Linked DNA regions of Saccharomyces cerevisiae S288C. Changing the gene in region 3 together with the main gene of any one other region gives a genetic interaction. Each region holds a gene or a part of one and is shown on either strand. Other genes may lie near its edges.

What was found.
Region 1: mutations in HOT13 (region 3) and ENV7 together harm fitness more than expected from each alone (negative genetic interaction), as found in Saccharomyces cerevisiae (one large-scale study listed by BioGRID).
Region 2: mutations in HOT13 (region 3) and YOL024W together harm fitness more than expected from each alone (negative genetic interaction), as found in Saccharomyces cerevisiae (one large-scale study listed by BioGRID).

What each region holds. Positions count from the first base shown.
Region 1 is NC_001148.4:101,108-104,852, reverse strand, and holds ENV7 (putative serine/threonine protein kinase ENV7), read left to right. Parts: upstream 1-2,150; coding exon 2,151-3,245; downstream 3,246-3,745. Other genes in the region: RVB2 (RuvB family ATP-dependent DNA helicase reptin), read right to left, coding at 206-1,621; SUI3 (translation initiation factor eIF2 subunit beta), read right to left, coding at 3,500-3,745. UniProt on the Saccharomyces cerevisiae protein: Serine/threonine-protein kinase involved in vacuolar processing and morphology.
Region 2 is NC_001147.6:275,069-278,104, reverse strand, and holds YOL024W (uncharacterized protein), read right to left. Parts: upstream 1,020-3,036; coding exon 501-1,019; downstream 1-500. Other genes in the region: IFM1 (translation initiation factor 2), read right to left, coding at 1-49; LAG2 (Lag2p), read right to left, coding at 1,166-3,036.
Region 3 is NC_001143.9:276,052-284,173, reverse strand, and holds HOT13 (Hot13p), read right to left. Parts: upstream 3,666-8,122; coding exon 3,315-3,665; downstream 1-3,314. Other genes in the region: TEF4 (translation elongation factor EF1B gamma), read right to left, coding at 1-752, 1,079-1,283; ribosome biosynthesis protein RRP14, read left to right, coding at 1,845-3,149; malate dehydrogenase MDH1, read right to left, coding at 4,047-5,051; SRX1 (sulfiredoxin), read right to left, coding at 5,510-5,893; cytochrome c1 heme lyase CYT2, read left to right, coding at 6,311-6,985; phosphopantothenoylcysteine decarboxylase complex subunit CAB3, read right to left, coding at 7,176-8,122. UniProt on the Saccharomyces cerevisiae protein: Required for the assembly or recycling of the small Tim proteins in the mitochondrial intermembrane, thereby participating in the import and insertion of multi-pass transmembrane proteins into the mitochondrial inner membrane.

The DNA.
Region 1 (3,745 bases), on a different chromosome or scaffold from region 3:
TATATTATAATACTGCTATCTATACATTTGATAATCGATAATTATTCGAAAGAAGGTATATCATACGGGGTTCTGAACGTGCTGGCCAACTGCTGCCTATTTTAGGTGTACTTTTTTACTTCTTATCACCAACAATCACGCAAACATAAAATTTTTATTTATACATATATATTTGATGCAATTTCTGCCTTAAAGTACAAAATGCTTATTCCGTAGTATCCATGGCATCAGGGTCTGCTGATTTAGCAATGGATATTTGAACGTTGCCCTGATCATCAATATATTGTGACTCGTTCTCTTGAACATACTTAACAGATCTAGCGCTGTCCAAAAATAGCAAATAAGCCCTTTTGACATCTTCCACTTCAACAGTGTTGTTTTTTCTCTTCATTGCAATTTGCTGAGCAACAGAGATTAAATTACTGCTGTAACGCAAACTAGTTTCCACACCTGTTTTGGTCAATAGATCTAAGGCATCGGATGACAGTTCAACTTCCTCCTCTTGTGCTCTTATAGATAAAATTGTCTTAATCTCCTGCTCATTATAACTTTTAGTTGTAATAATAATTGACCTATCCAAAAGATCGAGAGGTAACCCATGTGGAGATTTGTAATTAGTCCCTCTGGTTTTGGAAACTCCTCTATTTGTAGCCATCATGACGATTGGGGCAAACTCATCTTCCAAAGCCCTATTTATAAAGGAAAAACATTCTATATCCAACATGTGGACTTCGTCGATAAATAATACACCAGGAACAATTTCTGCTTTACCTTCTTCTTTCCATTCTGCCACTTTTGTGTTTATCTGGTCTCTTACCTCTGACCTAATTTCACCGGTGTCACCAGTAAATAATGCCAAAAATCCTTGTGTTCTTGAATTAATAACATCAATTTCATGCAGTGACACCGTGTGAACCACTGTTTTCCTTTTTTGCAGTTCGCCTTCCGGACATTGAACAAATCTGGTATCAGCACCCATGGCATCATAATCCCTAGATCTAGCAAAGGATCTGCCTAGCTTGGTAATCTTCCCACTAGCTTTATCAATAGAAATAACATCGCCAGCCAATACCTTTTCTTTAGTTAGGCCATCAATCATTTTATTGCCTAATTCATAAATTGTTTCCATATCGGTAGTTTTAATAGTCAATTTTCCTTGTTTGTGTCCACCAGTAATAGATCTATCAATTTGAATTTCCACGACTTCACCTTCAATCAATTCTGTCTCCTCCTTGATTTTGATACCGATGGATTTCCTAAAAGCTTGAGTTAGTGCTTCAGTTTTACTCAATTCTAAAGAAAAGATTTCTGAGCCCGCAATAGCAGTGAATGGTACATCTTTACCCAGAGACTGGGAAACACCCATGGCAAGAGCGGTCTTACCAGTTGAAGGGGGGCCCGCTACCAAAACAGCCCTACCTGCTATGGTGCCATTTTGAACCATTTTCAATATCACACCAGCAGCACGACGGGCTTGCAATTGCCCAACCATACCTTCGGATGTGGGACGTGGTTGCAAGTTTTCATCTAGACCTAAACCTGTAATATGGGAGTGGGCAGCAATTAAAGATAACGACTTTAAATCTGATGTTTCATTTGGATCACTAGTTTGAATCGACATGCTGACAATTTTTTTTATTTCCTTTCAAAGTAACTTGTGCTAGACTGCTAGAGAAAGTAGTATTGCTGGCTTCAACTAACTGAACTTCTTTCTCTCGTTTCCCGTGTGAATGTACAGTCTTCATTTAGCTTTCATCTTCTATTGAAAACCTTCAAAAAGTTCGCTGAAAAAAATAATTTTCACGTTTCTTTCAAACTGATCACGTGAAAGGGAGTTAAATAGACTTTAATAAGTGTAGAAACAAAGAAGTAAAGAAAACCGCTATATTGGGTCTAACCAATACGACTGATACAACTGTGTTGACCCCCAAAGTTTACATAATTTGCTCTTTTTCTTTTTTGCAAGATCCTTTCTGTTTTGATAAGTCCTGTCTTATGACACCGAGTTAGGGACATTTTCGGTATCTGGTTTTGTAAGATGTTGAACCATACTTTCTCCAAAAAGACGAAACAGAGAGTAGACAAAAAGAGCCTGTAATCTCAGCGACTGACTAGGGATAAAATAACGATTGTACCATCTTATCCGATCAATGATTTCTATTGTATTGGAATTGTTCCAGAACTTGTGCTGCTGTCGCGGATTTTCCGATGCTACTATTAGGGTAAATGATAAACGATATAGGATTCAACGACTACTTGGAGAAGGTGGAATGTCCTTTGTGTATTTGGTACAACTGTCAAAGAATTCTCTGATTATAGACAACGGCATCGCAACACCAGAATTATACGCACTAAAGAAGATTATTTGTCCTAGTGTGGAAAGTATATCCAATGGTATGCGAGAAATTGAAAATTACAAACGGTTTCAAAGTCCTTATGTTATAAAAAGTATCGACTCACAAGTAATGCAGGAAAAAGATGGGTCAAAAACAATTTACATAGTACTACCCTATTATTCATTAGGGAGTTTACAAGACTCTATTAATCGGAGGTTACTCGAGGGCACCTTTGTATCAGAGGCAGAATGCGTAAGGATAATGCTTGGAGTTACAAGAGGTTTACTTTGTTTACATGATCCTGCGTCAAGACAAGATAACGCTACTTCCAGAGTAAATGTCGATGCGGTTTCTATGACTTATAGCGATGAAACGGCGATGCTCCTAGAAGACACCCCCTTAGAGATGGACATGCTTTCCTCCAACTCAGCAGGTTCAATAGCATATGCACATCGCGATATTACACCTTCAAACATTTTGTTCTCTTCAGACGGTTTACCAGTAATTGGTGACCTCGGCTCCTGCTCTCAAGCTGATATAACAATTGAAAACAGACATCAACTCAGCGAACTACAAGAATGGGTCAATGACAATTGTACGTTGCCATATACTCCACCAGAACTTCTGAACTTGAAATTAAATCAGGTTTTGAGCTCTAAGGTTGATATTTGGTCTTTGGGTTGTACGTTCTATACTTTAATGTTCGGTATCTCCCCCTTTGAGCGAGAAGAGCAGATACATGGAGCTTCTTTAACCTACGCTATAAACACTGGTAAGTACAGTTTCCCGAGAAATTCCAGATTTTCTGAGGGGCTTTTGAGTGTAATCAAGAAATGCATTCAAGTGGATCCTATACAAAGGCCTACTACCAGCCAATTATTAAATCTTTTACAAGATTTAGACACTTGATCGGTTTTGCTTCTCAAAGCTTTTTCCTGTCCTTGGGAAGTAAACAGGACACGATGATTGGCTGGCTCCATGCAATGTGTTCACTCTGATCAATGAAGATTACCTACCGCTGTTTAGATTTATTTTGTGAATGAAAATTTTTACTTTAAGTTTTTCTTCATTTAAACATTAAATATCTAATGAAACGAATAAAATACACAAGATAAACGAAATCCGTATTTATTATATATATGCTAACAGGTAAAGCACCAACATCACATTCTCCTTCTCTTACCAACGGTAGCTTGGAAACCGGTTTTAATAGAAGAGACGGATCTGGTAGAACCACAACTTTTACAGACCATAAAGAACAGTCTGTTTGACTGTTCTCTCTTCAATTCGGTGTTAATACTCTTACAAGTTTTACAAGTGACATACTCCAAAATGTATCTTCTTAAGACATTCTCCATTTGTTTGGATTGAAACTTACCCTTAATGACTAATCTTTTCTGACCGTCAAC
Region 2 (3,036 bases), on a different chromosome or scaffold from region 3:
TTAGACGGGGACATGTCTTTAACCAGAATAATCCGTGTCTTCTGAGCATGATCTATTAGTATGCATATGGAAGTTCCTCCTATGCTAGAAAAGCGTGTGTAACATCAAATAAGAGACAATGAGGGAGATGAACATGATTATTGTAGCTCGTTATTGATGTTCCCTGGTTATAATAATAAAGAAGTTCGGGTAACGAATAACAAAAAATGACTGTATATATATATATATGATATTAAGAGTGTTTGAGTATTATGAGAATATTATCCCGACATTTTGTTGCTCAAAAATAGGGAAATTACTAGGAACCAATAAGAAGATGTTTGATAAATCATCAGCCTATCCTTCTCGTTGTAACCGTTCTTGACACTGTGGTTGTTTATCTTTTGTTATTAAAGCTCTACTTTTGAAATCCAAATCGTGTTTCCTTATGCTAAGGTGGAAAAAAATAATAATAAATAAAATGGCCAACAATAAACAATAGCCTCTCTTTTCGTAAGTAATTAACTAAACATATCTAGTTGTTGATAAATAAATTTTTTATAATCCTCATACAGAAATAGGCTTGATTTTTGTGGAAAGGAAGATGACTGTAGCTCTGCTTTTACTGTAAGTAGGGGTTCATCCAAAGCTGCTGTCTGAACTACTAAATTTGTTTTACTTGCATGCAATTTTTCAAATAAATCTCTTGGCTGTGGAGGCATAGTTTCGAGCAAGACACGGTCCCCCATGTCTATCACCTTACAGGTGTCATAAATATTTATTTGATCCTTTTCCTGCAAAAAAAATGTTGACATATTGTGCCTCAACTCTTGCAGTGTCATTTTAGACAACACAACAGGAAGCTTTTTCCTAGAATAATTTAAAGCCTCACAATAATGCGTCGATCTTCGAGAGTTTGGAAAACGTCTTTTGAGTAAATTAGGGACGGCACAAAGATCATCGAAAAACTCTTTAGATTTTGGCGGTTCTTCCATATTTATAAAATCGGCGGCATGAGGATAAGACGATAGTTTTGACATCCTGTGTGAGGGTGCTATGTATATTTAGTTTTCTTCTCCCTGCCTGAGAGGATAGATTATTGTGTATTAATACGGGCAAAAACATGTTGATGACACAAACTATAAGGAAAAAAAAAAGATGCATGATGTATTTGGTATAAAACTATCTAGTCATGAGGGAGATAAGGAGGAAATTGTAGCAAGAGGTTGGTATTTATGTCTTTTTTAATACAAGTTTCTTGCAAAACTTGATAGAAGTCATCTTTATACCATTCCCAATCGATACCAATTAGGTAATTATAGTATGTGCGTAGAATTTGGTCCAGCAATTGGAAGGACAGATCTCTCACCCCAAGATCCTTATCCCTTACAGAATATCGCGCAATAGTGGGTAAAATCTCACCTAGCATAGAGTAATCCAGTGGGAATAGTTGTAGTAGTAGAGAAAGAATCATTGTTCTTAAGGTCACTCCTTCATCAATTTTTTGGGTAAAATTTCCTGCTTTTAATGTATCAATAAAAGATTTATTTGTTTTTAGATGGGGTAATATCAACTTAATCAATTGAAATTGCTCGCCACGAGTGATGTTATTTGAATGATTTTTAACCAGCAGATGATCAATAACCTCTATTGATAGCTGTAGAACAGACAATTCGGAACCGGATTGCAACGACAAAGTATGCGCTAACGTACAAAAAATAACGTTTTTTCTAATTGGTTTATTGCCTTTCACTTCATTTAGAATTTCGTTCAAATCTGCGATTTCCCCATTGTGAGTGGGTAATTCTGTTGTCTCTTTTGAAAGAATTTTATCAATTAAGGATGTGTTTATAGCGATCTTAGTCTGCAACTCAACCAACAGTTCAGAGAAGCGCTCCTCCTGAGGATAATGTAACTCAGAAAAGATTAAAAGGATTTTGTTCGTTTCTGTAATGTCTTTGGTGGCTTCATCATTTTTTTCAACGTTTATATCATCTGCGTCTTCGTCATCCGTATCACCGTCATACATGTTTTCGTCATAACCTTCTGATACGAGTTCATCGAGGTACGCTTGTTGTTCAGGATCGTTGTCTGAGCCAAATCCGTCGTCACTGTCGATCAGATTGTCGCTACCATGGTCGTTTTCATTTTGCGTCCTTGTCAGCGAGTCGTTTAATATGCTGAGCATACCAAACAAACCCTCTCTTAGCTGGCTAATAGTCGAATCTGACAATAGAGGCCTATTATCCTTTAGCCTACGAATAGAAAAATATGGATGGAAGTTATGAACTATTTCGAGAACATCTTCGACGTTACATTCTTCTCCCATTTGCGGGGGGAATAGAACCGGTAATAGCCGGTTAGTAAATAATTTATCGACTATGGGGCCAAATTTGTACCATATTCGAGAAACTGCTGCTAAAGTATTGTACTTCATTTTGGGGCATAAATTTTCCAGGTCCACCGGATGAGTTAATTGCGTAGAAGTCAAAAGTAATTTTTCTGTGATCCTATCAATGCTTTCATTTGTATTCGTAGCAGAATAGTCCTGCGCAATTGTAAAAACGTCATTCAAAATATCAAAGGGCAGTGTGACCATTACTGAAGGACTTGCCGCGTCTGAAAAGAAGCTAAATTTTAGCAATAGATTAAGGGATTCTATGTAAATTAGCATATTGCTTTCAGAAAGTGAATGTGAAAGCTGCGCAGCATCCACATCACACATATGCCTTTTCATTTCAACAATAAATTTGGAGATAAACTCTAATGAACTGTTTACTGGTTGGTGGTAATCTAAATGAGGGGAGTTTTCAATTTTTTGTAACACATTTCTTAGTGTCTCAATCAGAACAAAAGAACGATTTGCATGTATCATGCTTTGGTTTAATAAAGGGTCGCATATCAAGCTTATTACCCATCCCAACTGAGCAGCTGCAGGGTCGCTGATCATAGAAAGAACTAAATCGGGGAGCACTTGAAACGATACTAGGTTGAGAATTTCCATGTCTTGTTCTTCGACCAATACCGGGAGCAGCAATTCGTTAACAAGAGGAGCCA
Region 3 (8,122 bases):
ACCACCGACCAAGTTGTTGGACATGAAAGTCAAGGTAAGTTCGTCGTTGTATTTGTAACCAACCTTCCAGATGGAGTATTCTTCAGGGTTGTAGTGTTCCCAGAACCATGGCAAAGCAACTGGTCTGGTGTCGTCGTTGGAGTACTTTCTCTTCCAGTCATCCAAGACAAATGTGGACTTTCCTAAAGCTTCCAATGGGTGCTTTGGCTTTTTAGCTGGAGCAGCATCATCTGCTGGCTTAGCTTCGTCCTTCTTCTTTTCAGCCTTTGACTTTTCGGCCTTTGGCTTTTCAGCCTTTTGCTTCTTTGGTGGAGTGTAGGTTAGAGCCTTTTCAGCCAATTTGACTTCAGCAAATGGAGTCTTCACGATTGGAGAAGCAGCAACAGTGTTGAACCATCTCATCAAATGAGGATGCTTAGCTCTCCATTCAGGGCCCAAAATAGTGGCCAAACCAAAAGCCCAAGAACCAGCGGCATGAAGGTCACCTAGAGAAATGTTTTCGGTAGCAACAAAGGTGTAGTCTCTCAATCTAGCATCGAAGACAGCAGCTAGGTTGTCGATTTTAACAAAACAAGCATCAACGTCTTTCTTGTTGTATGGAATCAAACCTTTGAAAGAAAGGAATGGACGAGCAATGTTGCTCATGACATCGGAATTAGCTAGAGATGCCCATCTAAGGATTTGAGACTTTTCGATAACGTCGGAACCTAATAAGCGAGCTCTTTCTTTTTCATCGGCAACTTGATTAGCCACTAAATATACATCATCTCGATGGTTATACAACCATTAATTGAAGAAATGTTAGTAAAACAATCCTTTATATTTTTTCCTGGATTAGGACACGCTTTGTACTTCCTTTTTGTTATTTTGACTTTCATTTTTCTTTAAGAAACATATCAGAAATACAAATATCAACATATGAGAGGTTACCTATTATTACCCATTCAGACAGGGATAACTGTTTGATAAAATTTTTTTTCATCATTATGTTTCGAAGAAAAATGACGTGCCAAATAAACGAACGGGAAACGCGCAAAACAATGTATGTGGAAGTGTTAAAATAAAATATGGAACATACAATAAAATTGGATAGCCAAAGCTTCAGTTAGCTTTAAGCCCTTTGGACCCAAAAATGCAGGGGCTTGCTTCAATGGGAACAAAGAAGCAAACTCGCTAGATTGTTCTAGATCAACGATCTTGACATCTAGTTTAAAGTAAGAAATCAAAGCTTCAGAAGCGTAGTTTCTTGGAGATCTATTAATGTATAAAGTACCTTGGGACATCTTGAATCTATCGAGGGCCAAAATCAAAGAATTGAGTTGGTATTAAGGATGGACACCAGTTTTGAACAAAATTAACGACGGAATGGATGAATTAAATATGAAAAAGAAAGTATTGCAAACTGTTGATGAAAAAAATTTTTCTTTCAATTTTGTCAGCAGCAGAGCGCATTACCCTGCCGGCCACATGCCGAATTAAATTAAATGAGGGCTGCTATTGCCAAATGTGATGGCTTGCCTACAGAGGTTAATTTCCCTTGTTTTGGGCTTCCTCTCTCAACACGATTGACACAAGCAATAGAGGCAAAGGTGTGTAATGAGTTCGTGTACCAATTAAAGTAAAGTAGAGTGGTTTAATTGGGATTACACGATTAAAAAGTTTCACCCAGACACCAAATTGAAAATTTTTTAAAATGAATTCTTTTTATTCTCATCTCCGGTAAAGAAAAGAGGAAAGTACAATAAAAGAGATGAGATGACCAAGAGATGAATAACAAGTGAGGACTGAGACGTTGTTGCAAGTGATAAAGAAAGTCCGGGAATTGAAAGATATAGGAGACTGAGATGAGTAATTCACTTGAGGAGCGCCTTCGTGCTAATTCAAGCGCCTTCGATGGTTTATTGGCTTTAATTCCTGCAAAATACTATTATGATGAAAAAAGTCAAGAGCAATGGAAGGCCAAGAAGAAAACCAAAGAACAGAGTAAAAATGATAAACTGAAAAAATTAGACCCGGAGCAACGTGATGATGAAACATCTAGTACATTAGAAGTAATGAAGAAGAAGGAGAAAGACGCAAAGCCGGTGGTCCTACCTGGTGAAAAATTCAAGCACATGAAAATGCAAAAGCAAAAGGAAGCAACATCAAAAGTGGAAGGAGACTCCGACCTGAACGTAGAAGTAAACGATCCTATGATAATAGCACCAGACGAAGATGAAGAAGAGGAAGAGGATATTAAGGTGATCTTTGATGATGAGGGAAATGAAATACCATTAGAATCTAAAAAAGATACTACAGAGCCCGATAGATCTGTCGAAAAGAAGTCTATTACAGAGGAAGAGAAACTACAAAGAAAGAAAAACTTGGAAGCACTACGTTCCAAGTTACAAGCGAAAATTTCAGATATGAAGAGTAAAAGGAAAGCACCCGGTTCTAGAGAGGCTATTCTTGCTCAAAGGAAACGCAAGGAAGAGTTGAAAAAAAGAAAGCGTCTAGAAAGTGAACAGGAACAGGATCAGGATGAAATTGCGTCTGATTCCGATATGGAAGACATCGATAGTGATTTAGAAAACAATTCGAAAAAAAGATTCAAAAAAGGCAAGAAGGACTCAGAAATTAACGCAGATGGTGTAATGTTTCAAAATATCATATTCGATGATGGTGCAAGGGCCACTTCAGATTTACAAAGGTTAAGAAAAGCTGGTAGAACGAAGGGTCCGGCTAAGAATGATGTAAAATCACACTTAAAGTTATTAGAAGCCAAGAAGAATAAGATGGAGGCGAAAGACGAACTAGAACAAATCAAGCAGAAGGAAAAGGAAAAATGGCAAAAGGCTATGTTACAAGCAGAAGGAATTAAGATTAGGGATGACGAAAAACTACTTCGCAAAGCTATAAAGAGAAAGGAAGCACAAAAGAGAAAGTCTGCGATTGAATGGAGCGAACGTAAGAGGGTTGTGGAAGACACGATATCTGAAAGACAAAAGAGAAGAGAAGAGAATCTGAGGATTAGGAAAGACAACAAGGGTAAAAAGAGAAATAAGCAAGAAAAGATGAAAAGAAAGTATGTCGGTAGTGCCGTACCAAAGAAAAGAGCCGGATTTGAGGGTAGATTAAAAACAGGTAAAAAGAAGGGAGGACCTAAATAATAATCACGATAATAATAACAACAATAATAGATATATATATATGTATGAACATATATATACAGATACATATATATATATATATATCTATATATATACCATCGCATTTTTTCCTTAACGAGAAGAGCACAGCAGAGCTTAAGATGGCATGCATTTATAGAACAACACTCAACACATAGCGGGGGGAGGGTTCTGGAAATACAAATGGTAGTGCAATTTACAGCCTGGATTAAAGGGGGATCTGCAATTGGGACAAATAAGGTTTGAATTGTAGTCGTAATACTCTGCAAACGTCATTTCATGACGGCAAACTCCGCAAATAATCAAGTGTTTATTTGCATCGTCAAGGAGATCATATTTTTCTAGCGGGTGAGAACTTAACTCTTGGTGGCATTCAAAGCACGCATAGTACTTATCACAACATTTAAACCTGATGGCAATTACATCCTTTGGAAGATGCCAGTGGACACATCGAGATTGGTCATCCACTGTCTTACCATAAATGGCAGTTTCGATCATCTATATTTGCAAATTGTAAGTGGTACGTATTTTTTTTTTTATATCATATATGTATATTTAAAGAAACTCGTAAACCGAAACGTTTATTCATCATTATCATCATCATCATCATTATCATCACCATCACACCGCGCGCGCCTATTTAATCATTTTTGTTTTTCCTCGTCTACGGAAGAAAAAAAGGTGTAGGAGCAACGAATAGCATGAATTTTTCTCTAGTTGATTTTTGGCAGTTTCCTTCCTTTCAATTGGCTAAATATAACAAAGAATTAAATAAAAAAGATGTCGTAATCTCATGATGGCGAGTAGTCTTCCGTTCTTATTAGTAGAATTTTTTTTTTTTTTTCCCTATTTTTCACTCTATTTCTGATCTTGAACAATCTATTTACTAGCAACAAAGTTGACACCCTTTTCGATATTCTTCTTCAAGGTTTCTTTACATTTTTGTAGCATTTCTTCTTCTTCTGAAGATAACTCACCTATTGGATGGATCTTTTCAATACCATCTGGGCCCAAAGTGACCGGAGATGCAAAGAATTCGATGCCTTCGGATTTGAACAAGGGAGAGTCCACGAAGGAAGGCTCGATGACGTCTCTTTCGCCTTTGAAACCGGACAAAACAGCGTTAGCGAATTTAGCACCAGCATGGGCCATTGACAACGTAGCAGAGCCAGCACCATTCTTTGCTTTGACGACTTCGTCACCACCAAACTGTATTCTGTGAATCAATTCGTGTCTCTTGTCATCAGACATCAACTTATGGTTTGTTTGCGAAATCAATGGGATGATGGTAATACCAGAATGTCCACCGATGACGTTAACCCTTTCCTGAGTTGGATCGGTGTTCTCGACTTCTGAGATGAATCTGGCGGCTCTAATAGAGTCCAAGGTAGTCACACCGAACAATTTCTTTGGGTTGTAAACACCCTTGTTTTTCAAGACTTGGGCGACAATTGGAACGGTAGAATTGACTGGGTTGGAAATGACCAGAATGGCAGCATTGGGAGCGGATTCGGCGGTTGCTGCTGCCAAATCGCGAACGATGCTTGCGTTGATGGCGAACAAGTCATCACGTGTCATACCAGGCTTTCTGGGCACACCAGCAGGAATTAAAACCATGTCTGTGTCCTTTAAAGCGTTGTTCAATCCGTCTGGCTCTTCTGGAGTAAACCCCTTGACCACGGAGTTTGTTGGAATATGAGACAAATCGGTGGCAACACCTTTTGCGCCCTTTAGGTCGTACAGTCTTAAGTCCGTGACTTTATGGTTAAGCTTTAGAAGCAAAGACAATGGTTGTCCAATACCACCGCCTGCACCCAAAACAGTCACTTTATAAGGGTTGGCAACTGTAGAGGAAAACGCACGTTTAGCTACTCTTGACAACATTGTATATGGTATCCTTCCTTTTCCTTTTGTTTTTTTTCTTCCTTTCCGTAGATGTCCACGTATAATATATTGTATATCTATATGTGTATTCGTTATCTTAAGTGGAGGAATACAGTACAAACACCCAATGCGTGCTAACACTTCTTTTTAAAGCGCAAGCTATATATATTGTAATATCCGCCATTGTATTATGGCAACTTTTTTTTGTATTTTTCTGGGAATCCGCTTGGCGCGTGATTGAGCCAATGAACGCTGAGTGAATGCCGAGAAGGGGGGGAGAAGCTGGCAGGAAGGCCCAACCGCCAGGTCCCTTGTACCTCTCCGGCGCCGAGGGTCGCACAAACTGCTAGTGCCTACTCTAGTTGTTGAATAAGAAATTGATTAATTAAATTGAGGGATTTTGTATTAGTGAATTATAATTTATCTATGTTTCTTATGTAGTGTTATTAGCGTAATCATTATTCGATGTCGAGACTGCTGCCCAGGTACATGCGGATTTGGCGGGGAGTGGCCGGTAGCACCCTGCAGCGCACGGGGAAGGCGGCGTTCTGCGTTTCGCGAGCCCGGCGGTCGTATGCCTGTAGACGGTGGCAGCCGCCGAAGGCATAATATAGCGTCTGTCCCTTGACTCGCACGCCCAGCACGTCCACGGGCGGCAGTTCCCCGGCTGAGGCAGCCGCCTCAGCCTGTTCTAGAGAGCATGTCTTGCTAGCGGTGGGAATGCCCTTCATTGTGGCCACCATTGCGTCGATCTTTTGAGGATCCAACACAGGCGCTAGGGGGCGTCTGATCTCTGAGAGAGGAATTTCTGTTGGTTTTACACTGTTGCTTTGTAGTGACATATTGTTCTTTTTTTACTTGGTTTTGTAGTTTTTTTTTTCAGTAAGAAAAGTATATATAGCTCATTGATGGTAGATATTGTGGTTTATATACAACACCTCTTGACATGTATTGCATCGCATCCTTACCCAACAGGGCTACTGTAATGACTAAAAATAATGGCGACTTCTGGGCCGGCCTTCTAAAAAAAAGGGACCCGCAACGGGTAACGGCATATTTTTTTCGAAATCAAAGTTCCAGCTTTTCGATGTTTGTAAGCCTTCTAAGACAGAAAGATGTAGTATAAATGATGTAGCTTACTAATCAGGGAAAAAGCAATCGCTAGTATTGCAGAGGCCAAAGGCTTAAGCATCACATTTCGGTAGTAGTAAATAGTTTGTTAGTTCACGTGCTTTTCATTCGTCTCTATTTTACATATTATGATGTCTTCAGACCAACAGGGGAAATGCCCCGTAGATGAGGAAACCAAAAAGTTATGGCTACGAGAACATGGCAACGAAGCGCATCCTGGTGCTACTGCCCCAGGCAATCAACTAGAGTGCTCTGCAAACCCACAAGATAACGATAAAACGCCTGAATATCACACCACGGTGGATCTCTCTCAGTCCAGAGAGGTTTCCACCATACCAAGGACGAATTCTGACAGAAACTGGATATACCCGTCGGAGAAACAATTTTACGAGGCAATGATGAAAAAAAATTGGGATCCGAACTCAGATGACATGAAGGTGGTTGTGCCTTTACATAACTCCATCAATGAGCGGGTTTGGAACTACATTAAAAGCTGGGAAGACAAGCAGGGTGGTGAAGCGTGTGGCGGTATCAAATTAACAAATTTTAAAGGTGATTCCAAAAAACTGACACCAAGGGCCTGGTTCAGGTCCCGTATCTTGCACCTGGCCAAACCTTTTGATAGACATGATTGGCAGATAGATAGATGCGGTAAAACCGTCGACTACGTAATCGATTTCTATTCCACCGATCTGAACGATGCAAACTCGCAGCAACAACCACTTATTTATCTCGATGTTAGACCAAAATTAAACAGTTTTGAGGGCTTTAGATTACGGTTCTGGAAATCTTTAGGCTTTTGAATTACTACAACTATTCCTGTAAATAAAAACATACCCTCCCTAGTTTCCACATACATATTTATTTAATCTTATTTAGGCACTCAATTTAGAAACTAGGGAATGAAAAAGCAGTAATCTTCTTTTAAGGAATAAACAAAAAAAAAAAAAATAAAACATAAAACATAACACAAAATACTCTTTTCTAATGCATTTAAACTTCGGTTTTCACGTCTTCCTCATCCTCTTCGTCTTCCTCGTCATTGCTCTCATCGGATGCTGTTTCATTTAGAGCTTCTTCCTCCTCCTCGTCCTCCTCATCCTCTTCGTCATCCTCATCATCGTCGTCCTCATTGTCAGCACCCTCTTGTTCTTCTTGTTCTTGCTCTTTATCACCAGTTTCCTCGTCCCTAGCTTTCCGTATTTCATTGATTCTCCTCCTAACGATCTCTACAATATCTGTCCATTCTCTCATACCACCCATACCAATATCTCCGCATATTAATACCTTTTCCACCGGTTTCAAAACTTGGATGAACGGATAGTCTTGCACTAAACTCGTCAGGTGTTTCTTTGTCATAGGATTGATATACATGAATGTATTCATTGCAGGCGCAATCAACACTGGGGTCAGTGGTGACCAATCTCTCATCACAGAAGTTAGCAAATTGTTACATATACCATTGGCCAGTTTAGCAAGTGTGTTAGCTGACAAAGGCGCAATCAGGAAAATATCAGCCCATTTTCTTAATTCATGGTGCAATATCAAGTTCAGACTCAAGCTAGTATCATTCTTATTCACAGCGTCGAATACCCAAGCGTCTTCCTCCCTCCAAATTTTAACGTGTGTTGACATTTTGAGCCCTTTCAAAAAATGCTCAGCGGGTTTTGTGACAATCAACTGAATAGAGATTTTCTCAGGCCCATATATCTTGAAAAGTTTATCAATAATTAGAGGTACTTTTATTGTGGCAACTGAGCCCGTCGCACCAATGAGAATGTGGAATTTCTTGTCGTCTTCCTTCTGAAAGAACTCTGTGAAGGGTACACGAGGCCCTGTGGGTGCAGTGATAACTTCCTTGTTTTTATGTGTGGAGTTATTAGCCGATAATGGCGCCGCCTTTGCAGTGATAGGTTTAGAAGCGTTTGACTTGGGATTGA